Stegostoma tigrinum: one gene and its partners. The protein of the gene in region 3 interacts with the protein of the main gene of each other region in a pairwise test. Links are inferred from orthologs where the notes say so. Each region holds a gene or a part of one and is shown on either strand. Other genes may lie near its edges.

Region 1 (7,161 bases), on a different chromosome or scaffold from region 3:
AGTTACCATTGACTAGGGACTCAATTGAACTCATTACATAAACACAGTGGCTACAAGAGAACGTCTGAGGCTAGGAGCACTACAACAAGTAACTCAATTCCCAACCTCCCCCCAAAGCCTGGCTGCTATCCACAAAGCACAGGAGTACGATGAAACACTGCTTCACTTGCCTGGATGCGTGCAGCTCCAACATCAATTTAAAAAAAAGCTTGACACCATCCAGGACAAAGCTGCCCACTTCACCGGCATCACATCCACAAGTATCTTTTTCCTCTACCACCAATGCTCAGTAGCAGCAGTCTGTACTATCCACATGACGCATTGTAAAAATTCACAAAGATCCTCAAACAGAACTTTCCAAATCCATAACCATTTCCATCCAGAATCACAAGGGCAACAGATACACGGGAAACCACCAAATGCATGTTCCCCTCTAAGCCACTCACCATCCTGACTTGGAAATACATCTCTGTTCCTTCACTGTCGCTGGGTCAACATCCTGGAGTTCCCTCCTTGATAGCATTGTGGGTCAACCCACATCACGTGGACTGCAGAGGTTCAAGAAGGCAGCGCACCACCACTTTCTGAAGAGCAACTAAGGATGGGCAATAAAATTCTGGTTGGCCAGTGATGCCCGTGTCCCACAAGTGAATTTAAAAAAACTACTAAGGGTGCACTACCTAAATGATTACACCTTCCACCGAATGAGATGTTAAACTGTCACCCTGTGAATCCTCTTCATTCAGTGTAAAAGACTGCATGGCACTATTTCAAAAGGGCAGGGAATTTCTTCCTGGTATCTAATAGTTATCCTTCAAATCAACATTACCAAAGCAATTCATCTAGTAGTTATCACTTTGCCCTTCATGCATTTTCACTGTGCTCAAATTGGCTGTAGTGTTTCTGACATTACAACAGTGACTACACTTCAAACAGGATTGCCTTGGCTGTAAATATTCCTTTGTGGAATTGTGGAAAGTTGTTGAAGAGAAAAAGAGAGAAAAAAATCTTGCATTTATCGTGCACCGTTCACAACCTTGAGACAACTCAAAGCATTCCATAGTCACTTCTACCTAACTTCCACAGACAGCATGACAATTAATCTGTGACTGAAGGACATCATGTTTGTCATGATTCTAAGGAAAGTTCTTTAGTTCTTCAAAATTAGTCCCGGGGATCTCAGATCCACCTGGGACGGAAAACAGCACAGTTGACAGTGCAGCCCTCCCTTAGCATTGTATTCCAAGTGTCAGCTTGTATTTTTTAATTGTTTACATAGTGGGCCTCAAACGGACAACCTTCTGACTCAGAGGCAGGAATGCTACCTTGTGAGGCACAGCTCATTCTTTTAGATGCTGAGCAATATGCCATACATTTCCAGAAATTCTGCTATCATCCCACACAAGTTCCTGCTATTCTTTATTCTTTGACAATGCGTGAATATTACATGCATCCTCTTCTATAAGACACACGGTGTCACGAGTACAAGATCCCCACAATGCTATCCAATACTTCACAACTTCAGTGGGATTTTAAAATTTAGAAATGTTAAAACTGCTGGTTCACCATGTCTGTTTTTAAAAAGATCCATCACGAATTTCACAGATGAACACTCTAAGTAGCAACTGCTAAAATGTTACAGGAGCAGCAACTTCAGAAAGATACATCACAATTGCATTAAAACTGCATAACTTTAATTTGCACATGTAAATGTAAATTGTTAGGTGAGGATAATGTCTGCATAGAATATTGTTTAAAACCAAAGGAATGAGAAGCAAAATAAAACAAATGATATAATAAATTGCAGGGCTCCAGGGAGAGAATAATGAGAATGCGCCTAATTGGATAACACCTTTAAAGATCCAGCACAGACACTAAGGGCCAAATAGCCTCCTTCTGTGTTGTAAGATTCAAATTTAGAAGAGAACGAGTCAAAGAAACTGAGAAAGAAGGCCGGACAGCAAAAGGGACGTGAGGTCAGAACTCAACAGTTGCGTGGAATTCACAACACAAAACAGGTCGTTCGGCCCATCTGTATTTTAAAAAAACTCTATAAAAGTTACCATCACAAAAAAAAGTAAAATAACTGGTCATTATCACGTTGGTGTTTGAGGGAATAGGGCTCCAATTGGCTGTTTTACATTGCCACATTGACGACTCTTCAGAAGCAACTTTGGAGTGGTCTGAGACCACGAAAAGCGCTATATAAATGCAAACCTGCGGCTCTTCGAACCGGACTCCGCCCCACCCCCCCCCCCCCCCCCAAAAAAATCAACCGATTTGGTAAATGCAATAGTCTGAGTACAACAACCTGGGAACTGCTTGGGCATAGTCGAGTTAATTCAGTGTCATACTTATGGAGAAAGTTTTGTTGCTAAACTCACCGAGGAGCCGGCCCAGAAGGGACAAGAGTTCCTGACGTTGGGGGACTCGGTGAGGGACAGAGCCCCGAAACTGAGAGACACGATGGAGAAACCCAGAGCGATCTGGAGTAGTCCCAGAGCGAAGAGGGAGCGGCCGTAGAGCGGGCAGTGCAGCGGCTGGCGTGCCGGGCTCGTATTGCTGCTGCTGCTGCTGCTGGAGTGTAGCGCTCCGGGCCATGACACACACCGAGCCCGGTTCCGAAGCGGTGCCTCCCCGCTCGGTGTGGTGGCTTGCACTGGGCAGCAAGAAGTGGGCAACAGCACTGGCAGTGACATCCGGCAAGAAAAGAGAGAGAGAGACAGACAGACAGTAAAAGGTTGACTGCGGGACTTGGTAACCCACAGTCACACCCCAACAGTGAAAATCACTGCGTTTACTTTGGTAAACCCCTTCAATCCCTCAATTCACTCAAAAGCCATTTGCTCGGAAATGCCTTTTAGGAAATGCATCGCTCTCCCAAGTCGCGGTACGTCCCACTTTCCCAACATTTTTTTTAACCCTCCCCTTGTTTTCCAAAGTGGCTGAGTTGACTAGTTTTAAAATAACTCCAGGCGAGTTTGGGATTGCATTACTAGATCTGGCACACACACAGAAGCCAGTCACTTTACAAGGGAGACTTTGACCCCCCCCGCGGCAGCCACAAGCTGTGGGTTTAAAACAAGACTAGGAAACCTAATTTTTAGATTTTCAAAACCAATCTTGAGGTTTTTAGTTTGACCTAACTGAACATTTTTTTAAAAAACTTGTATTTAATTCTTTTGCGGGCTCCATGTGTTCCACTATGTATTTACCTGTTTATCGACCTCGTTTATCGTGAATTACTAGTCCCAGTCGCCTTGCAGCCGTACCGATCGGGGGGAAAATTACAACCAGTGGAAAATACCGAGCATGTCAGTATTATTGACATAAAATTTCTTTTGTTCGATTTCAAAAATGCAGCCCTAGCAAGGTGTCTAGTTTTGACTACGATCTTGATTGAAGCCTGAAAGGGACAGACAGGTTTGTTGGCTGTAAAATAATAACGTTTTTAATCGACAGTACGATTAACATAAAACATCCGACGATCCTCACGAGAGTACCGTCAAAGTCCCAGCCGCAGAAGACAGAACAATGCTGGGGACTCATTGGAGTTTAGAAGAATGAGAGGTGATCTCAGTGAAACACGTCGGACTCTAAAAGGGCTAGTAAAAGCTGGGAGTGTGTTTTCCCCTCGTGGGGGGTGTCTAAGACCGGAGTGCATAGTCTCAGAATTAAGGGGACACCAATTTCAGGCTGAGGTGAGGAGGAATTTCTTCTGTGGGTTATGAGTCTTTTGGAACCCCTTGCCAGAGAGCTGTGGGGGTAGAATTGTAACAGTGATAATGGGAACTGCAGATGCTGGAGAATCCAAGATGACAAAGTGTGGAGCTGGATGAACACAGCAGGCCAAGCAGCATCTCAGGAGCACAAAAGCTGACATTTCCGGCCTAGACCCTTCCCGAAACGTCAGCTTTTGTGCTCCTGAGATGCTGCTTGGCCTGCTGTGTTCATCCAGCTCCACACTTTGTTAGCTGTGGGGGTAGAGTCGTGTTGTGTATTTATGGCTAAGATAGATCCGTAATCAGTAGGGGAACAAGAGTAATGGGGGCTGGGGGGAAAGAAGTGCAGGGAAATGAGGAATGTTGGATCAGCGACGATCTTATTGACTGGCAGAGGTGGCTTGAGAGATCGAATGGCCTACTCCTGTTCCTGTTTCATGTGGTCTCATACGTCAGATAACTGGAGAACTTGGCCAAAGTAGGCTTTAAAGAGCTGACTCGGGGGGGGGGCTTTCCAGAGTTTGCAGGCCAACTGGAGCTACAACGGGCACTGGTGGCAAAAATAAACTTGGTGCAATTCCAAAAAGCCAGAACTGACAGAGTGCGAAGAACCCAGAGATTTGTAGGGCTGGAGGCTGCCATAGCAATTCACATGATTAAGGCATTGGAAAGATTTGAACAATGTAGAATGTGAATTTTACAATCAAGGTGTCACTGGACCTGGGAGCCACTGATTGAACAAGACTTAGTGTTACTGGATGAGCAACAGTTTGTAGAGGGTGTGAGATGTGAGACTGGCCAGGACAGTGTTGGAATAGTCTAAGCTAGAAATTATTACAGCGTGGTTACCATAGTTTTCAATAGCAGCAAAAGAGGAAACTCACAATGTAAAAGTGTATGATTCGGGAGTGATTTCAGCAATTGTTGGAAAATTTCATGCTGTCTTGCATTTAACAATGGATAAACACATCATGGAATCTTTCTAGATAGCAAGACATAACAGAAGTACAGAAGGCATAAAGTGCTAAAATGAAGATTAATTACAGAGAATGTTATAGCACAGAAACAATCTGTTTTGCCCATCTGGCCAATATTTATGCTCCACATGAGCCTGCTCCTTTCTTATTTAATCTCACCCAATCAGCATGTTCTTCTATTCTTTGTGTTTCTCTAGTTTCCCCTTAAATGCATCTGTGCTATTTATTACAACCACTCCACATGATAACAGGTTCTACTCTTTAAGTAAAGGTATAAGCACCCAGTTTTTACTGTAGCAGAGCACCTAATGATGGCTGCAATTTGTTAGGCATGAACCTTGCACATTTATCTTATGAAATGTTTAGCATGACCACTTGCTGAAGGTACAGTCTGAGAATAGAGCAGCAGGGGAAGTCAAACTTTGGGACTTTGAATGAACAGGCAACTGTTCCAAACAAATAAATTGAAGAATTGGGAAAGAGAGTACAAGATTGGAACAAGGATACGTATGTTAATTTAATATCAAGACTATTGCAGAATGAAAACACTTACAATTTAATGTATGCTCAAATTATCTGCATCAATCTCCAGTCTTTTAAAGCCAAATAAATAAAACTTTTGACTTGTATGCAGTCACCTTTATGAACTAAGTTGAAATTTGAATTGGTGTTGAGGTTCCAAGATGGGTCCCTAACGATTCCTTTGACGTCAGATCTTACCAGTTAACTCCATATTGCCGTTTCTTCCTTTTTTTTAAATCACTCCTTATTCCAATTCCTTTTATTTATACTGTAAGTTGTTTGACAGTTTGAAATTGTCGTTCCTACATTTGACCTGTTGAGTCCAAGACATAGCTTCAGTAATACGGTATTTTTCTCAGTAGGCAGTTCTATTTGTTTCTTTATCTGTCCCACACTAATTTTAATCTGAACATTGAGATGAGAGATATTGGTTGGTATGAGAAGGGATTAAGATTACATGGTAAGGTGGGGAGGTGCTGGGAGCAGAGGAGTTGACCAGGGCATCCTGGGAGGTAAAGTGCCTATGAAATGTTAATGGGATCACTGGCAATGAGCATGAGAATCTGACTGTCAATGACATCCTTTTCCTTAGAGTATTCCTACTTCCCTTCCATCTTGATCCAGGCCTAACTCTTTCTGGTATTTTCTATCCTTCCACTGCTGCTTCTGTGCAGAATCTAATCAACTCCTGTCTCCAGCCCTTCACCACATCTTTAATGCTTCATCCAGCCCCGACACTCTGCAAGTATGAGTGGTGGGTCCAGAAGTGCCCTTAACCATAATTTATTTCCTTCATCTTCCATCACATTCATTTTCCTAAAATGTGTGTTTTCAAAATTGGATTCATTTGCCTATGTTTCGTTTTGAAAAAAAATCAAAGTAGAAGTTTGCGGTGGCACAGTGGCTCAATGGTTTGCATGTTCTCCCCATATCTGCACGGGTTTCCTCCTAAAGTCCAAAAGATGTGCAGGTTACGTGATATGGTGTTGGGAAATTGCCCGTGGTGTCTAGGGATGTGTAAGATAGGTAGATTAGCCATGGAAAATGCAGGGTTACAGGGATAGGGTAGGGGGTTAAGTCTGCATGGGATGCTCCTTGGAGGGCAGTTGTTGACTCAGTGGGCTGAACGGCCTACTTCCACACTGCAGGGAACTTTGATTAGGTATTGTCCTTCCGTCTCTTAGATGTTAGAAAATGTAATTATTCCAGTTGCTAAATGTAAAAACAAACACTGGTGAGATGGGAAATGTTCAAAATTCAACATTTTAAACAAAATTTAGCAGCAGAAAAAATTCTTTCAGCTTAACGCAGTTTGAGGTTTACAAAACAGAAGCTACAACAGAAATGTAATCACATTCACTCCCACACCCCCCCGCCATAGCACCCTGCATAACTTCGTTTTTAAACATGCAAGGAACTTTACTGATTAAAGCTTTCAAAAGTTGTCCACTCAGCTCATAAATTTTGACAAATAACAGCTCAAAACTGCCAGAGACTAAAGGAGAATATACCACTTGGCTGAATGTAAATGCACACTCTCAGAATGCGGAGTTCAAACTCAACTAGGAGCACTGTAACTCTGGCTGAAAACAAAATCCAGTGTAAGCTTATACTTTTGGTAGAAATGGAGCTCCTGAAGTTTAAAAATAATCAGAAGATTAATTTAATGATGACTAATAGTGTAATGCCCAAAATGGCATTGGCTAATCCTATTAGACAAATGTGCTGTAAAACAATGGTTGCTATTACATCCTGCTGGTGTATGAGAAAGCGAAAAGCTTTCCTTTCAAACAGAAGAAGCCAATATTTTTAATTCACAGATAGTAGGGGGTAAAATGACAATGATGCCACTGGACTAATCTAAGTGCTCTGGTGACGTGGGTTCGAATCCCACCATGGCAGCTAGGGAAATTAAATTTCAATTAATAAATCTCCAACAT
Region 2 (6,867 bases), on a different chromosome or scaffold from region 3:
CAAGCAAAGCAGCACCTCCACTTCAAAAGAAATACAAAATTTCCTGATAGAGTGGCACTTTGCAACTCTGACCCACCTCCATTCAATTCAGGTGGGCAGTCTGAAAATTTGTCCTGAAAAAAGTGTTTTTGGACTGAAAAACCATTTCAGTTATAAAAATGTTGCTTGTTAAGTAGCATGTAATTTTAATTTGCAGATTGCCTGTACTCTAAATTGAGGTTAGCCTTCCCTCAAACTTGATTTGAGAAATTTATTGCATTCATTAATGGTAGCAGCTTAAAAGCATTAAGATCAGTAAGTGCCGAACAAAACACTATCCCACAGATTCAAGAGAACATCAGTAGCCACAATTAGGATTAGGCCATTCAGCTCATTAAGCCTGTTGCATGATGCAATCAAGTTATGGTCAATTTTGAAATAGGCAAGTTATACAATTCTATTAGGGAGGGTCACTGGACTCAATATTAATTCTTTCTGTACAGATGCTGCCAGATCTGTACAGTTTCTCCAGCATCCAGTCTAGTGATGGATGTTATAATACTGAAGTTTCAATTCACAAAATCCTTAATACAGCATGAACATTTTTCACACTGCTGCCTAGATTAACTCACACCAAATCCTATTCAAACACTGTACCAATGGTCACCAACTTATCATTTCATTATCAATCAAATCCCTTCTACCAGCAATCTACTTTAATACTGGCAATCAGCACATACCATGTCTGAAAAACTAAGTGATGGCCATAGCTGCAGCTCCTTAAAACATGGCTTTCTAACCAAGCTTCCAGTCAGCTAGCTCAGGGTCAAGTGTTAAGAGAAACAGTTGGAAGGTACCTTGGGGCATCTTACTACATTAAAAAGACATGCATGAAAGTCAGGAGATTGACAGTGACAATAATGGGTCACACTGCTCAAATGGTAGAAGCTTCCCATACAGCACTCAGCCTTTCATAGTCATTGAGTTCAAGATCTTCAGCATTATTCAACATTTTACATCCTATTGACCCTGATTACAATCTACACCATAGCTAGATCTAGATTTTCAGTAACTACATTATTATGCTCGAGTCAGAAAGGTTAATTCTGGACAGCCATAAACACCACCCATAATGGAGGTAGTCGCAAACCCTACTATCACATTTAACGTGAATGAATAAAGCACCCAAGTGTTAGCAGAAAGTTCTGACTTTGTATTCATGGCAGAAGTTTTATCTGGAGATTATTGTCCTGTACATTAGTTCAGCTATGAAAACCTACTAGAGAGATCTTCATATTAAAACATAAGATTGAGACTAGTGGACAAAACAGTTTATCAAAATAAAAAGGACTCAACATTTGTTTGAGAAACTTAATGACTAATGCCTAGCAATCATCAACATAACCTGTAATTGTTACCACAACAAACCAGATGGTTCTCAACAGAATCTGGCCAGGCCAAGCAGCTTTTCTCCATCTCACTGGAGAAAGTAGATCTAGTTTCCTGAAGAGGATGGTGGCAGCAAGTCTCAAGAGAAAGAGCAGAGTGTAGTTTATAGTGGCAGCTCACAACCTTGTTATACACTTCAGTGAGAAACAACTCCACACACACCTACCATACTGCTCTGGATAACATATGGCTCTGGAAGTTTACCCAGCAGATACTGCCTTCAATAAAGAGGCACACAAAGATCAGAAACACAGTCACCAGCATCCCCCTCTCTGATGAAGGGTCTAGGCCCGAAACATCATCTTCTGTGCTCCCGAGATGCTGCTTGGCCTGCTGTATTCATCCAGCTCCACACTTTGTTATCTCGTATTCTCCAGCATCTGCAGTCCCCATTATCACCAGCCTCCACACTCAGGTAAAGCAGCATGCTTTCACAAACAAACGTTTACCTACAAACTTCACAACATTGTACAGTAGTTAAAAACCATTGGCTTGAGTGGTCATGTTCATTCCACCAATCCCCTATAGACAGCTTGCAGTTTACAGGTGTATTAACCCATTAAAAAGGTGGCAAAAGCATAAGACACTAGAAGTTTATTTTCAAATCAAAAAAGAGTTGCGGCAAAACTCAGGTCTGGCAGCGTCTGTGCAAAGAAAGTCGAGTTAACATTTCAAATCCTGGTGGCTTTTCTTCAGCTTTTTAATTTAAAAGAACTCCATTTCCTTATAAGTCTAATGCAGATTCAAAATCCACAACGAGCACGAACAGTTCGTTTTCCATTTAGGCTCTGGCTACTTAGTACTAAACAGCGATAGCCTAATAACCCTATTTCCAACCCCACCCTTAAATTATTTAACAGAAACTGCGTATGCTTTAATGGCAATGTTTATTTTAGCTAGTGTAAATGCACTTTGCTTAATGACCGGTGAAAACAAATTTCAAATTAAACCGAGCTGAGATCAGTTCGCTACGCTTAGGGGACTTTGCGAGTTGAGAAATTTGTGGATTCTTCCGTGAAAAGTAAAGACACTTCTAAAAGTAGTTAGCTATTCTCACATCATCGTGGTAGCTAGCTTTAAAAATAGAGGAGTTGACCTAATACAGAGTCTTATGACTAATTAAGTAAGATGTACTAACTTTCATCTCTTTACCAGGCACCAGGATTTATAAAAAGCAAACTATTTTAAATACAACGATGTGAACAAGTCACTTTTGACTCAGTTCAAACAAACACCCTCCCTAACATTAACATACACAACATTGCTTGATTTGAGGGGCGGGGGTGGGCTACGAGACACTTTCTTCCAGAACGTTTACAACATTACAACTGATTCTAACCCACACACCATCATCGTACAAAATTTTTACTTAAAAAAAAACAAAACACTTCGACAAAGCCCAGCAAACGAACTAGAGAATTGCAGAAATACCAACGAGTCCTTTACCTCAAATCCTTCAAATGCACCACGTCCGACAGCGGTGTAAAGGGACCCCTGTACCCGTATAATAAAACACAAACAAACCACACACTGTAGCTCTGTCCCTGAGTATGAGCCAGTATCATCTGACTCTATTTAACACATGACGCCGCACTGCGGCGAGGATCGATCGCTATTAGCTGATTGCCAGCTCGCTCACGGGCACTAATGGCCAATCCCAATCAGTCAAGCACTTCTGCCGACCTCAGGAAATTCCCTGCCTTGGAGGGCTTTGGAGACACGGCAGTAATGTCTCTACCTCTGAACCAAGAGACCCGAGTTCAAGCCCTAGAAGCATGAAATAATGTCTGTCAAGTATTTTTAGCCAACTTGTGTCCAATGAACTGTCAATGGGACAAGAAAGTGCTCACATTAACTTGCTTGGAATCTCTAAAGCACGTTAGGTAGGCCACTTCTGGAATACTGTGATAACAAGGTGTGGAGCTGGATGAACACAGCCGGCCAAGAAGCATCATAGAAGCAGGAAGGCTGACATATTGCACCTAGTGTTCAGTTCTGGTCTCCCTGCCGTGGGTAGGTTGTTGTGAAACTTGAAAGACTTACAAGGATGTTGCCAGGGTTGGAGGGTTTGAGCTGTAGGGTTAGGCTGGGGCTATTTTCCTTGGAGTGTCAGAGGCTGAGGGGTGACTTTATAGAACTTCATAAAATCATGAGGGGCATGAATAGGGTAAAAGGGTATTTTCCCCAGGGTAGGGGAGTCCAAAACTCGAGGACATATATTTAAGGAGGGAAGGGAAAGATTTAAAAAGGACGTAAGGGGCAACTTTTTCACACAGAGGGTGGTGCGTGTATGGAATGAGCTGCCAGAGGAAGTGGTGGAGGCTGGTACAGTTACAACATTTAAAAGGCATCCAGATGGGTGCATGAAATGGAACGGTTTAGAGTGATATGGGCCAAATATTGGCAAATGGGACTAGACTAATTTAGGATATCTGGTTGGCATGGATGAATTTGACCGAAGGGTCTGTTTCTGTGCTGGAGAGCTCTAAGACTCTGTGATTCTTTGCAGAATAAAGTGGACCTCTTATGTAGGTAGAGCTTACAAAGCAAAACTGGTCGAAGAACGTGATAGTCATTGAGGCAGCTATTAAGAATCATTCAAACTAGGAGCTTGCAGGAACTAGGAATGTTGTACAATAAGACGGAGGAAACATCTTCGGCAAGGACAATGGAACGGTATGAATGCGAGGGGAGTCACATCCGTAAGACTTTAAAAGCCTTCAATCTTGGGATGTGGGTGTCACTGACTGGCCAACATATAGTGTCCACCCATTGTCCTGCAGAATGTAGTGCTGAGATATTTTGTTTAGCCACTGCTCCACAATGCTGTTGGGAAGGGAATTCTAGGATTTCAATCCTGCAGCACAGCAGGGACGATAATATATTTTTGGTGTGTGGCTTGGATGGGGACTTGCAAGTGGTTCCCATGTATCTGCTGCCTTTGTCCCTCTTGATGGGAGAAGCCACAGATTTGAAAGATTTGAATTTTAGTGGTGCTGCTGTGCAGCTTCTGTATTGTGTACATCGCTGTAGTCCAGACTGCTGTACCTGAGCAATGGGAGAGTAATGTTGAAGGTGTTGGATGAGGTGCCAATCAAACTTCTTGAGCGTTGTTGGATCTGTGCTTATCCAGCAAAGTGGGGGCTTGTGCCTTGTAGATGGTGGGAGGGCTTTGGGGTGACAGGTGGTGAGTTGCTCACTGCAGTATTCCCATTCTCAGACTTGTTCTTGCAGCCATAGGATTTATATGGCGGGACCAGTTCAATTAAAGGACAATGGAAACCCTCGGGATGTTCATCCTAACCCCAGGGATAACAATGGTAATGCTCTTGAATATCAAAGAGAGATGATTAAAGGCCTTTTTATGTGATGTAGGTATTGTCTGGTATTTTTATGTTTCTTGCCATTTATCAGCACAAGCCTGATAATTGTCCATGTCTTGATTATTGTCACGTGTGCCGAAGGATAGTGAAAAGCTTTGTTTATGAGCAGTACAGGCAGATCATAGTAAGCAAGGATGTACAATCAGGGGTTGTGAAAAGAATTAGACAGAGCATACAGGTTATATTGCACAGTGTGCATGCTAGGCAGATCAACATTAGCAAGATTAGCATTATTTGAGACTAGAGTCCATTAATCAGTTTGATAACAGCCAGGAAGAAGCTGTTCAGGAACCCACTCATATGTGAATTTAGGCTTCTATATCTTCTGCCTGATGGAAGAGACTGTAGAAGATCATTACCAGGGTGGGATGGGTATTCAATGATGGTGGCAGTCTTTCTGTGGCATTGAGCCCTGTAAATGCAGCTCATGGGTGGAAGGTTGGCTTCCATGATGTTCTCAGCTGTGCACACCACCTTCTGTAGTTTCTTATGGTCCTGGGCAGCGCAGTTGCCGTACCAGGCCGTTATGCACCCGGACAGTATGCTTTCAGTGGTGCATATGTAGAAGTTGACGAGGGGCCTTATGGACATGTCAAATTTCCTGAGCTGCCTGAGGAAGGGCAAGTGTTGCCTTGCTGAAGATGGACATTGACTGCTACAGAATCTAGGGAGTTGAACATTGTGAAGTCATCAGTGAACATTCCCCCTTCTGACCTTATGATGGAGGGAAGGTAATTGATGAAGCAGCTGAAGATGGTTGGGCCTAGGACACTACCCTGAGGAACTCTTGCAGAGATGTCCTGGAGTTGACATGATCACCCCCAACAGCCACAACCGTCTCCATTTGAGCTAGGAATAACTCCAACCAGAGAAAATGAGGATAGATTCGGAATATTGACATTTAAAATGCCAAATGGATGACATTTCAGTGACAATTGGGAGGTAAAAGAAGCTGATTATGTGGTATGTAAAAAGTTGTAAAAAATGCCTCTTCTGATTAAACAGCCTGATTTTAAAAATTCCAAACTAACATCAAGAATATGCTATAGACCACTGAATAAAACTAAGGAGCAGGACTAGGAAGTATGAGGAGAATAAGTATGTTTCATTGTTAGACATCAATCAGCTAAATGCAAACTGAGTGAAGTAAACTAAAGGGGGACAAGGGGTTTCCCTACCCTTTCATCTCATACTTTGATATCTATTATACAAAACACTACAATGACTGCAGGGGCATAGTTAGCTCAGTTGGATGGATAGCTGCTCTGTGATGCAGAATAATGTCAATATCACAGGTTCAGTTACTAATGAAGGACCCACTTCGTGACCTCTCCCTTTGAGTCTTGGTTTGATATATTGTTGTCACATTTACCAAGATACAGTGAAAAGTGTTGTTTTGCATGCTCTACAGGCAGAGCGCACCATACAAAGTATGTCAGGGTAGCAGAACGGAGTGCAGGGTACAGTTTTACAGCCACAGAGAGGGTACAGAGAGAGAGAAACCAGCATTAACATTTGAGAGGTCCATTCAAAAGTCTGACAACAACTGCCGTTGAATCTAATAAAACATGTTTTCAAATTTTTATATCTTCTGTCCAACAGAAGAGGATGAAGAGAATATAACTGGGGCGGAAGGGGTTTTCCCTGCTGGGGTCAGACTTTTGAATGGACCCTTCAAATGTTAATGTTGATCTCTCTCTCTGCACCTGCTCTGCGGCTGTAACACTATACCCTGCACTCTGTTTTGCTACTCTGACATACTTCGTATGGTGTGATCTGCCTGTGGAGGGTCTTTCACGTTAGTTGCTTTCCCGAGGCAGCAGGAAGTACAGATAAGTCATAGAATGGAAGGCTGGTTTGCATGATGGACAGGGCTTGTGATTATGGCTCACTGTAGTTTCTTGTGGTTTTGGGAACAGCAGTTACCATAGCATACTGTGATGCATCTAGATGGGATGCTTTCTATGGTGCATCTATTAAAAATTGCTAAGTGTCTAAGACATGGTGACCCTCAGGTTGAACCATCGCCCATCATCTCTCTTGATCTGAGGTTGTA
Region 3 (6,840 bases):
TGTCGTGCTGTGCAAAACACCTTTTCAAAATATTTCCATCTCTCTTCAACTTTAAAAAGTCCCAAAAAAAACGCATCTCACTAACTAGAGTTATGGTCTGACCTCATAATTTTACCTACAAAACTCTTTATCTGTAAAGTACTTTGGGACACTTTTAAGTTGACATCACTATTTAGCACACATGCTGCTGTTATCTAGGTTGAAGTTTTAATTCTAAATTTACTTTTAATATTTTTGGGTTGCTTTCACCACTCTCAACAGTACTGGTAGACAAACTAGCTCCCAGTCACCCCTGCTGGTTGTTGAAACCAGAGTAAAAGGGTGATCTATGTACACTCAATTCCATTTTCGCTTCCTCTCAGCAAATGTCTCCTTTTAGTGTCCCTTCAAGCTGAGAGCAATGACTCAGTCATTTAGGAATCATAGGGGAGATTCCGTCCTGTACTGTCCTGCAGTAGGTCACATTAATGTCTTGGCATCGTTGACCGTAAAGATGCCTAACAGCCACTTACACCTAAATTTCGAAAGGCTTGAACTCAATAGATTTGTGAAGCGGGTTGGAATTGTTTACACTCAAATAGTAATTAGATTATTAACTTGCAGCATTACCACAAGTGAATCCAAGTGAATTATAACATTTAAGATGAATTAGACTAAAGAAAAGGGAAAAAAAAAAGAGAAGAAAGAAACAGGGGTTGCTCCAACACTGGAGCTAACACTCCCAATGAAGTTAGAGACTAAATGGGAAATGGATAAGTGCACAAACTTCAATGTCAGTTTCAGATTAGTTCAATATATGAAAGTCAGCCAAGAATAATAGATATGTGCTTCAACTGCTTCAGAAGTTAAACATTCTCCAAACTCACAGCTCAGTGATTCAGCACATGACTCCTAATCAGTTCAAAGTTGGAGCTCAGGTACACCTGTGCCCAGAACTTGCTGCTGATCAGTTTGTTCATTTCTGAGCCAATACAGTGGATTCCAGCAAAAAGGAGGCAGACCAGCTCAGGTTGTTTAACTAGCCTTGCCTGTAGAGCTTGATTACTGTAGCCACAAAAGCATTCATAACTCTGAATGCACCATCTTCCTCCTATTACCAGGGAATATAAAATTCTTCAGGGGACAAAATATTGGAATTTTGCTTTTTAAAAAGCACGTCTCGGCATTTAGGTTATCATAAATTCATTTAGGTACAATAACCTCATTTTAAAACTTGGTTTATACAAGATTAGGACAGCATAGTTGTTTAGCTTCCATCAACTGTTCACAACTTTGCCCATTTTTCTTAGGCTACAATATATGTTAAAACAAGGAATGCACATTTCCTAGCTATGTATCCTGGTCATAAGTGTGACAGGATCAGCATATGATCTTCAGATCAGCATCAATTAAAATCTGTTGCCTCATTTTTCTTTGTAATTAGCTCAGTGTTATTTTTGCCTTGAAACGCATTGCTTCATGTCTCCGATTTTGCAGGTGGATTTAAAGGCGGCAGTACATGCGGAAAGAGCAGCAAATCTATGTGCACTGGAAAAAAAAGGAAAGCAGTTTCTGGTAGCTTACTTCACATGGTAGAAACTTCACTACGTGCCTCCGAGCTGTGCTGGGTGTCACCACCAGCGTTTTTAACAGCTGACAGCTGTGCAGCTCCACAGATCCCTCATGTCTCCAAACCTTCTCCTGACAACTGACTCAGGCAGCTAAACAAGGTGCCCAGCTGCCAGGCCCTGCCTGAGCCCAGGCAGGCACCGAGCGAGTTCGACATCAACTCAGATAGACCCAAATCTTGCTCGGATTTTCAACTTAGGGCCTGCTATTTTGTTTGGGAGGAGGGAGGGGAGGGGTGAATGATCCGAGAAACTGAAGCACAGCAAGAGGGGAGGGTTTGCACAGATCACGCTGCACATGTAGCCCCTTTCCTCGAAACCTTGGCCAGGCCGTAAGTTAAAGGTTACCCAGGCGATGTTTCATCAGATCGGACTGCAGTGCGTCATCCCAAAACCCAATCTTCATCACTGACACCATCAACATGCCATTTTTGTTCGGGGCCAAATTGCTGTCAATGTTGGTTTCGCTTTATCTCTCATTTAAAAACAAAAATTAAAAAGCGGGGGGGGGGGGGATTGGGGGAGGGGAGCATGGATTGAGTAAAGGTGTCTGATGGAGCATTTACCTTTTTGCAGCAAACAATCCCGACTCCAGGGAGGGATTTTGTTTTGTTAATCGGGCTGTTCGTTACAAAAGACTGAAGCTGGGGAGGAGAGTGTCCCCTGTCACCCCTGCACAGACAGAAAGGCTTGATCTGCATTTGTAAAAACACTACAGTCTCTCCCTCCAGACACCCTCCAGGGTCAAACACGTACACACCCCTACCCCCACCTACATACATGTACACACACACACACACAGAGAGAGAGAGAGAAAAACAAACAGCCCCTCGTTAGAATGTGTTCGGAAACCGTCTCCGGGGGGGGGGGGGGGACGGACAGACAGCACTGACCTTCGGCAGATCCAGTCTCGGGTCACTCCACGTTGTCGTCCGGTTGTTGTGATCGACGAAGAACGGCCAGCCGGTCTGAGGGTCAATCTTGATCTCCCAGCCCGGGGGCAGGGCATCGCCGCCGCTGGCCGCCTGATTCGGAGAATTCTTCATTGTAAAGCCGGGCATGGTGAACTGAGCCATGGTTAGTCCGCTCTCCCCTTTCCCCTGGAATATTTATAGAGTGACACGGGCAGGCAGAGGGCTGCACTGGAAAGTCTCTAGAATTTGATCTGGGAGCAGTGAGCAATCGGAGGCTCGAATGTTCTGGCTGCTTCTCTGCTCCTGTGAAGACGATTGGGCGAGATGATAAAGCCGCATTACTAACCCATTGCTGTGCACGAACTGCAGTAACCCAGGGTTGGGTTACTGGCAAAATCTCCTCAGCTTCCCTCCCCCTGCTCCTTTCCAAATGGCAAACAGCTTGACGCCTCAATATGTTGACCAGAAACGGTCTCTCCCAGCTCGGATCAATTCTCAGGCACCCCTGATTAATTCATCAGATATTGTTAGGTTGAAGAGACAGCTCCAGATCCCACTATACCCTAATATGGTCAAAGTTTTAGCAAGTGGCATAAACTTTTTCGAAGGATTATAAATCATGAAAGTTGAGTTTCATTTTGGTTGAATGAGGTATAGCCATATAAGGTGCATTTCCAAAATAAAACAATCATTTGAATCACATCAGCCGGGCTGCGGTGCTAAATTCGCTGCCTAATTAATATGTAAAAGACCGAACCTGTCAAACCAGATTTATAAAAACCGAAAGAACTGCGGATGCTGGAAATCAGAAACAAAAATAGAAATTGCTGAAAAACCTCAGCAGGTCTGGCAGCATCTGTGGAGAGAAATCAGAGTGAACGTTTTGGGGTCAGATGACCCTTCATCAGAACTGATAGTTGCTCAGAAAAGTTGGTTTTTATGCTGGATAGGGTGGAGGAGATGGGTAAGGAGTAAACAGTAAGTGGATAAAGCACAGGATTTTTTTTGCAGACAGAAGGTAAATGTTCTGCAAAGTGATCACCCATTTCCCCATTGCAGAGGAGATCACATTGTGAGCAGGAAATGCAGTGGACTACATTGTGTGAAGTGCAGGTAAAGTGCTGCTTCACCTGGAAGATATGGCTGGGCCTTTGGATACTGAGGAGGGAGGAAATAAATGGGCAAGTGTATGGAAGGTGCAGTGGGGAGTGTTGGGAGTGAAGGAAGAGTGGACCACAGTGTCCCGGATGGAACAGTCCTTGCAGAAAGCTAACACGGGAGGGGAGAGGAATATGTCTTTGGTGGTGGTATCCCACTGGAGGTGGTGGAAACAGCAGCTACCTGAACTTCCAGTTGCCTGCTACTTCAGCACACCGTTTTATTCACTGGCCAACATCTCTGTCTCAGGCTTGCTACAGTGCTGCAGTGAAGTTCAGCACAAGCTGGAAGAAAAGCATCTCATTTCCTGCTGGAACTCTACAGCCTTCGAGACACAATATCGAGTTCAACAATTTTAGGGCTTGAAGTACCTTCTCCCATGCCCCTAGACAATCCCCACAGACCAGACCTTGTTATCACATAGTCTGCAATTTTGCACAACCCATTGTTAGCCAATAATAATCTCCATTAGTTGGTATTCATTTTCCTAGCCTGACCGTTATCCACTCCTCTGTCTGTGCAATTCTTCTTCTCTCTTTGGGCTCTATCTCCACCTATCATTTACTCCCTACCACCTCCCCCCACCCTATCTTCTGCATAAAAAAACAACTTTTTCCTCACAGTTCTGAGGAAGGGTCACTGGATCTGAAACATTAACTCTGATTTCTCTCTATGGTCAGATCCGCTGAGCTTTTCCAGCTATTTCTGTTTTTGCTTCTGTTATACTAGATGATAGAATCATGTATATTGTGGTGACCAGTCACCGTATTACTGTTTTGATAAGGATCCTCTTTAAGAGAGTCAAGGAAAGCAGAAAGGAAAGGGCACCTTAGCTGTTAGCCTTGAAGATAAATTCTATGATACAAAATTAAAGGCAGCAGAGTTAGGCATGGGTAATAAAATGTGAGGCTGGATGAACACAGCAGGCCAAGCAGCATCTCAGGAGCACAAAAGCTGACGCCTGCTGTGTTCATCCAGCCTCACATTTTATTATCTTGGAATCTCCAGCATCTGCAGTTCCCATTATCTCAGAGTTAGGCATGGGGTTGGGTTATGTTAAGGTCATGTTTTGAGGCTAGGTTTCAGTCTAGGGTTAGATCAAGGGTTTTTGAAGATAAGATATCCGTGTTCATTGATTTTCCATCTTTGCATCTGAATTCCAACAGGAATTAGTACAAATGATGATTAACACAAAAGTACTGAATCGTTCGTGATGCTTCTCCTCGATCCTCACCCACCGCAAGATCAAGCATCAGTGAAATCCATGGATGTAAAAAGAATTGACTCCTTTCTTCCCCAAAAAGGCTGGTGATGAACCCCAAACTATGTATATCTTAGGGCTGTTGTGATGCAATGGTAGTGGCCAAACCTTTGACTCAGGAGGCCTGGGTTTACATCTACCTGCTCCAAAGGACTGAGTGATTAGAATGAAAAAAAAATAAATTCGACCTTGTTCTTTGAGGATACTTACTGGCAATCAGGATGGTAGCTACTTCTGAATAACTAACTCACCCTGGGAAAATAACAATGTTGTTTGATTTCTTCATTATGATCAATTTTTAAATTTTACATGTCTGTATTTGATCTTCATTTCATTAACCTCATATCATTATTTGCCTTCTGATTTTAATTAATGGGAATTGATTACCAGAATGTTCCACTTCCTGGTTTACTGATTGTGAAAATTCTTTAATGTGATTGAGCAGTTTAGCATCTTGATGTCATCTCTGCAGTTCCCTGCTGAAAATTCTCATTACACAACATTCCACCCAATTGCTTGCCCAGAGAGGTAAAGGTCCAAACACAGAGACTGATAGATCCCTTAGCAAGACCATCTTTAAGGTCTACAGCAATTGCCATGCTTCATACAATCACAAATTATAGGCTTATATGGATGTTGATGTAAATTTGAAGTAAGCCTCTTTTCAGTTCTGCAACATATTTAATTCATTAATGTACCCTATAGAATTTTAGTTCTCTCTGTGAAGCATGAACAGGGACGGCAAATTAGTACTGTCACTGCAGGATCACTCTATTCTTGCCATTTTAACCACAGATTTTAGCCAATGAGTCAGGATAGGCGAGAGCCTCATTAAAATATGAGTCCATTTCTATAATGTTTGTCGGACTTCAACATCATTTTGGCACCAGAATCAGTCTCTCCAAGTCCCTGAAAATAAGAAATTGGAGGGAAATTTTCAAATTCCATCGATCTTCTTTCTGACATTGCTGTTATCCCCAAGCCCGCACCATGCCCCAGTAAGATCAAATTTCTTTAAATGGATTCCATTATGGACCATTTCATTTGGATGGAGGATGAGCTGATACAAAAGAGCAGCAACCACATGAGCAGTAGGTGATCCTCTTAGATAACAGCAAATGAGGGGGGCCTGCTGATAGGAGCCCACGCCGAGAATACTGGGTGTAATGGCTGAAAATTGGTTTCTTGGATATATCTGATTAGCAGTTCTTCTATATTGCTGATTTCCTCATGCCCCTGCCACAGGATCTGTTACCTGCTGGAACTAGGCAGTCACTATTTACCAGGGTGTCATCAAAGTTATTTTGTTACTTGTTTTACGTCCTCACTCTGACAGGTTAGATCACATGTAGTGTCAATCTCTGAGCTGGTGCTTGTGTCAAAGATAATAAGACTGGGCTCTTTGACGACCACACAGTTCACTTCATTCACTAGCAGATGTTGTCAGCCTATTGGCATCGCACCCTCGTTGCCAATTTTATGTCAAAGATTAAATGACTGGGTTCTCTGAGGACCACACAGACAGATTTTTGGAACTCACAAACAATATCTTCTACTTGTACAAGGGCGGGTTTTCCTACTGACAGCAAGGTATTGATACCCTAACTGTCAGTCTGAGAAGAGGAAAGGGTTATAATACACACACAGTATTTATACAAATCTGGATAGATGCAAATCGTTCCGTTTGGCAGTTGGATCAGGCAATGGGCATGTGACATAGCCACAAAATAGTAATAAGACTTACAGAGAACTGAACAAACAAGATGCGGTTAATGAGATTACAATTTCAACTCTTTAGCCCTTAGTTAACAAAGTGTTCAGATAAACTAGAATAGTGGTCACTGCTGCTTGGCGTCATGAGATTACAATTTTACCCATTAACCCTTAGCTAACAGATAAG

Evidence for each region. The genes of interacting proteins can lie anywhere in the genome.
Region 1: the proteins of bag3 (region 3) and fam189a2 interact in a two-hybrid assay, tested with the Homo sapiens proteins (2 studies listed by BioGRID and IntAct). The link is inferred for Stegostoma tigrinum from reciprocal best matches to the Homo sapiens genes BAG3 and ENTREP1.
Region 2: the proteins of bag3 (region 3) and litaf interact in binary tests that used the Homo sapiens proteins (3 or more experiments, as listed by UniProt). The two-hybrid records come from large-scale screens. The link is inferred for Stegostoma tigrinum from reciprocal best matches to the Homo sapiens genes BAG3 and LITAF.

Annotation. Positions count from the first base shown.
Region 1 is NC_081356.1:28,054,913-28,062,073, reverse strand, and holds the start of fam189a2 (endosomal transmembrane epsin interactor 1), read right to left. Parts: upstream 3,003-7,161; 5' UTR 2,700-3,002; coding exon 2,385-2,699; intron 1-2,384. UniProt on the Homo sapiens protein: Functions as an activator of the E3 ubiquitin protein ligase ITCH in the ubiquitination of the CXCL12-activated CXCR4 receptor. Thereby, triggers CXCR4 endocytosis and desensitization, negatively regulating the CXCL12/CXCR4 signaling pathway.
Region 2 is NC_081376.1:5,010,655-5,017,521, forward strand, and holds the start of litaf (lipopolysaccharide-induced tumor necrosis factor-alpha factor homolog), read right to left. Parts: upstream 3,003-6,867; 5' UTR 2,875-3,002; intron 1-2,874.
Region 3 is NC_081373.1:25,968,254-25,975,093, reverse strand, and holds the start of bag3 (BAG family molecular chaperone regulator 3), read right to left. Parts: upstream 3,006-6,840; 5' UTR 2,684-3,005; coding exon 2,501-2,683; intron 1-2,500. UniProt on the Homo sapiens protein: Co-chaperone and adapter protein that connects different classes of molecular chaperones including heat shock proteins 70 (HSP70s), e.g. HSPA1A/HSP70 or HSPA8/HSC70, and small heat shock proteins (sHSPs), e.g. HSPB8.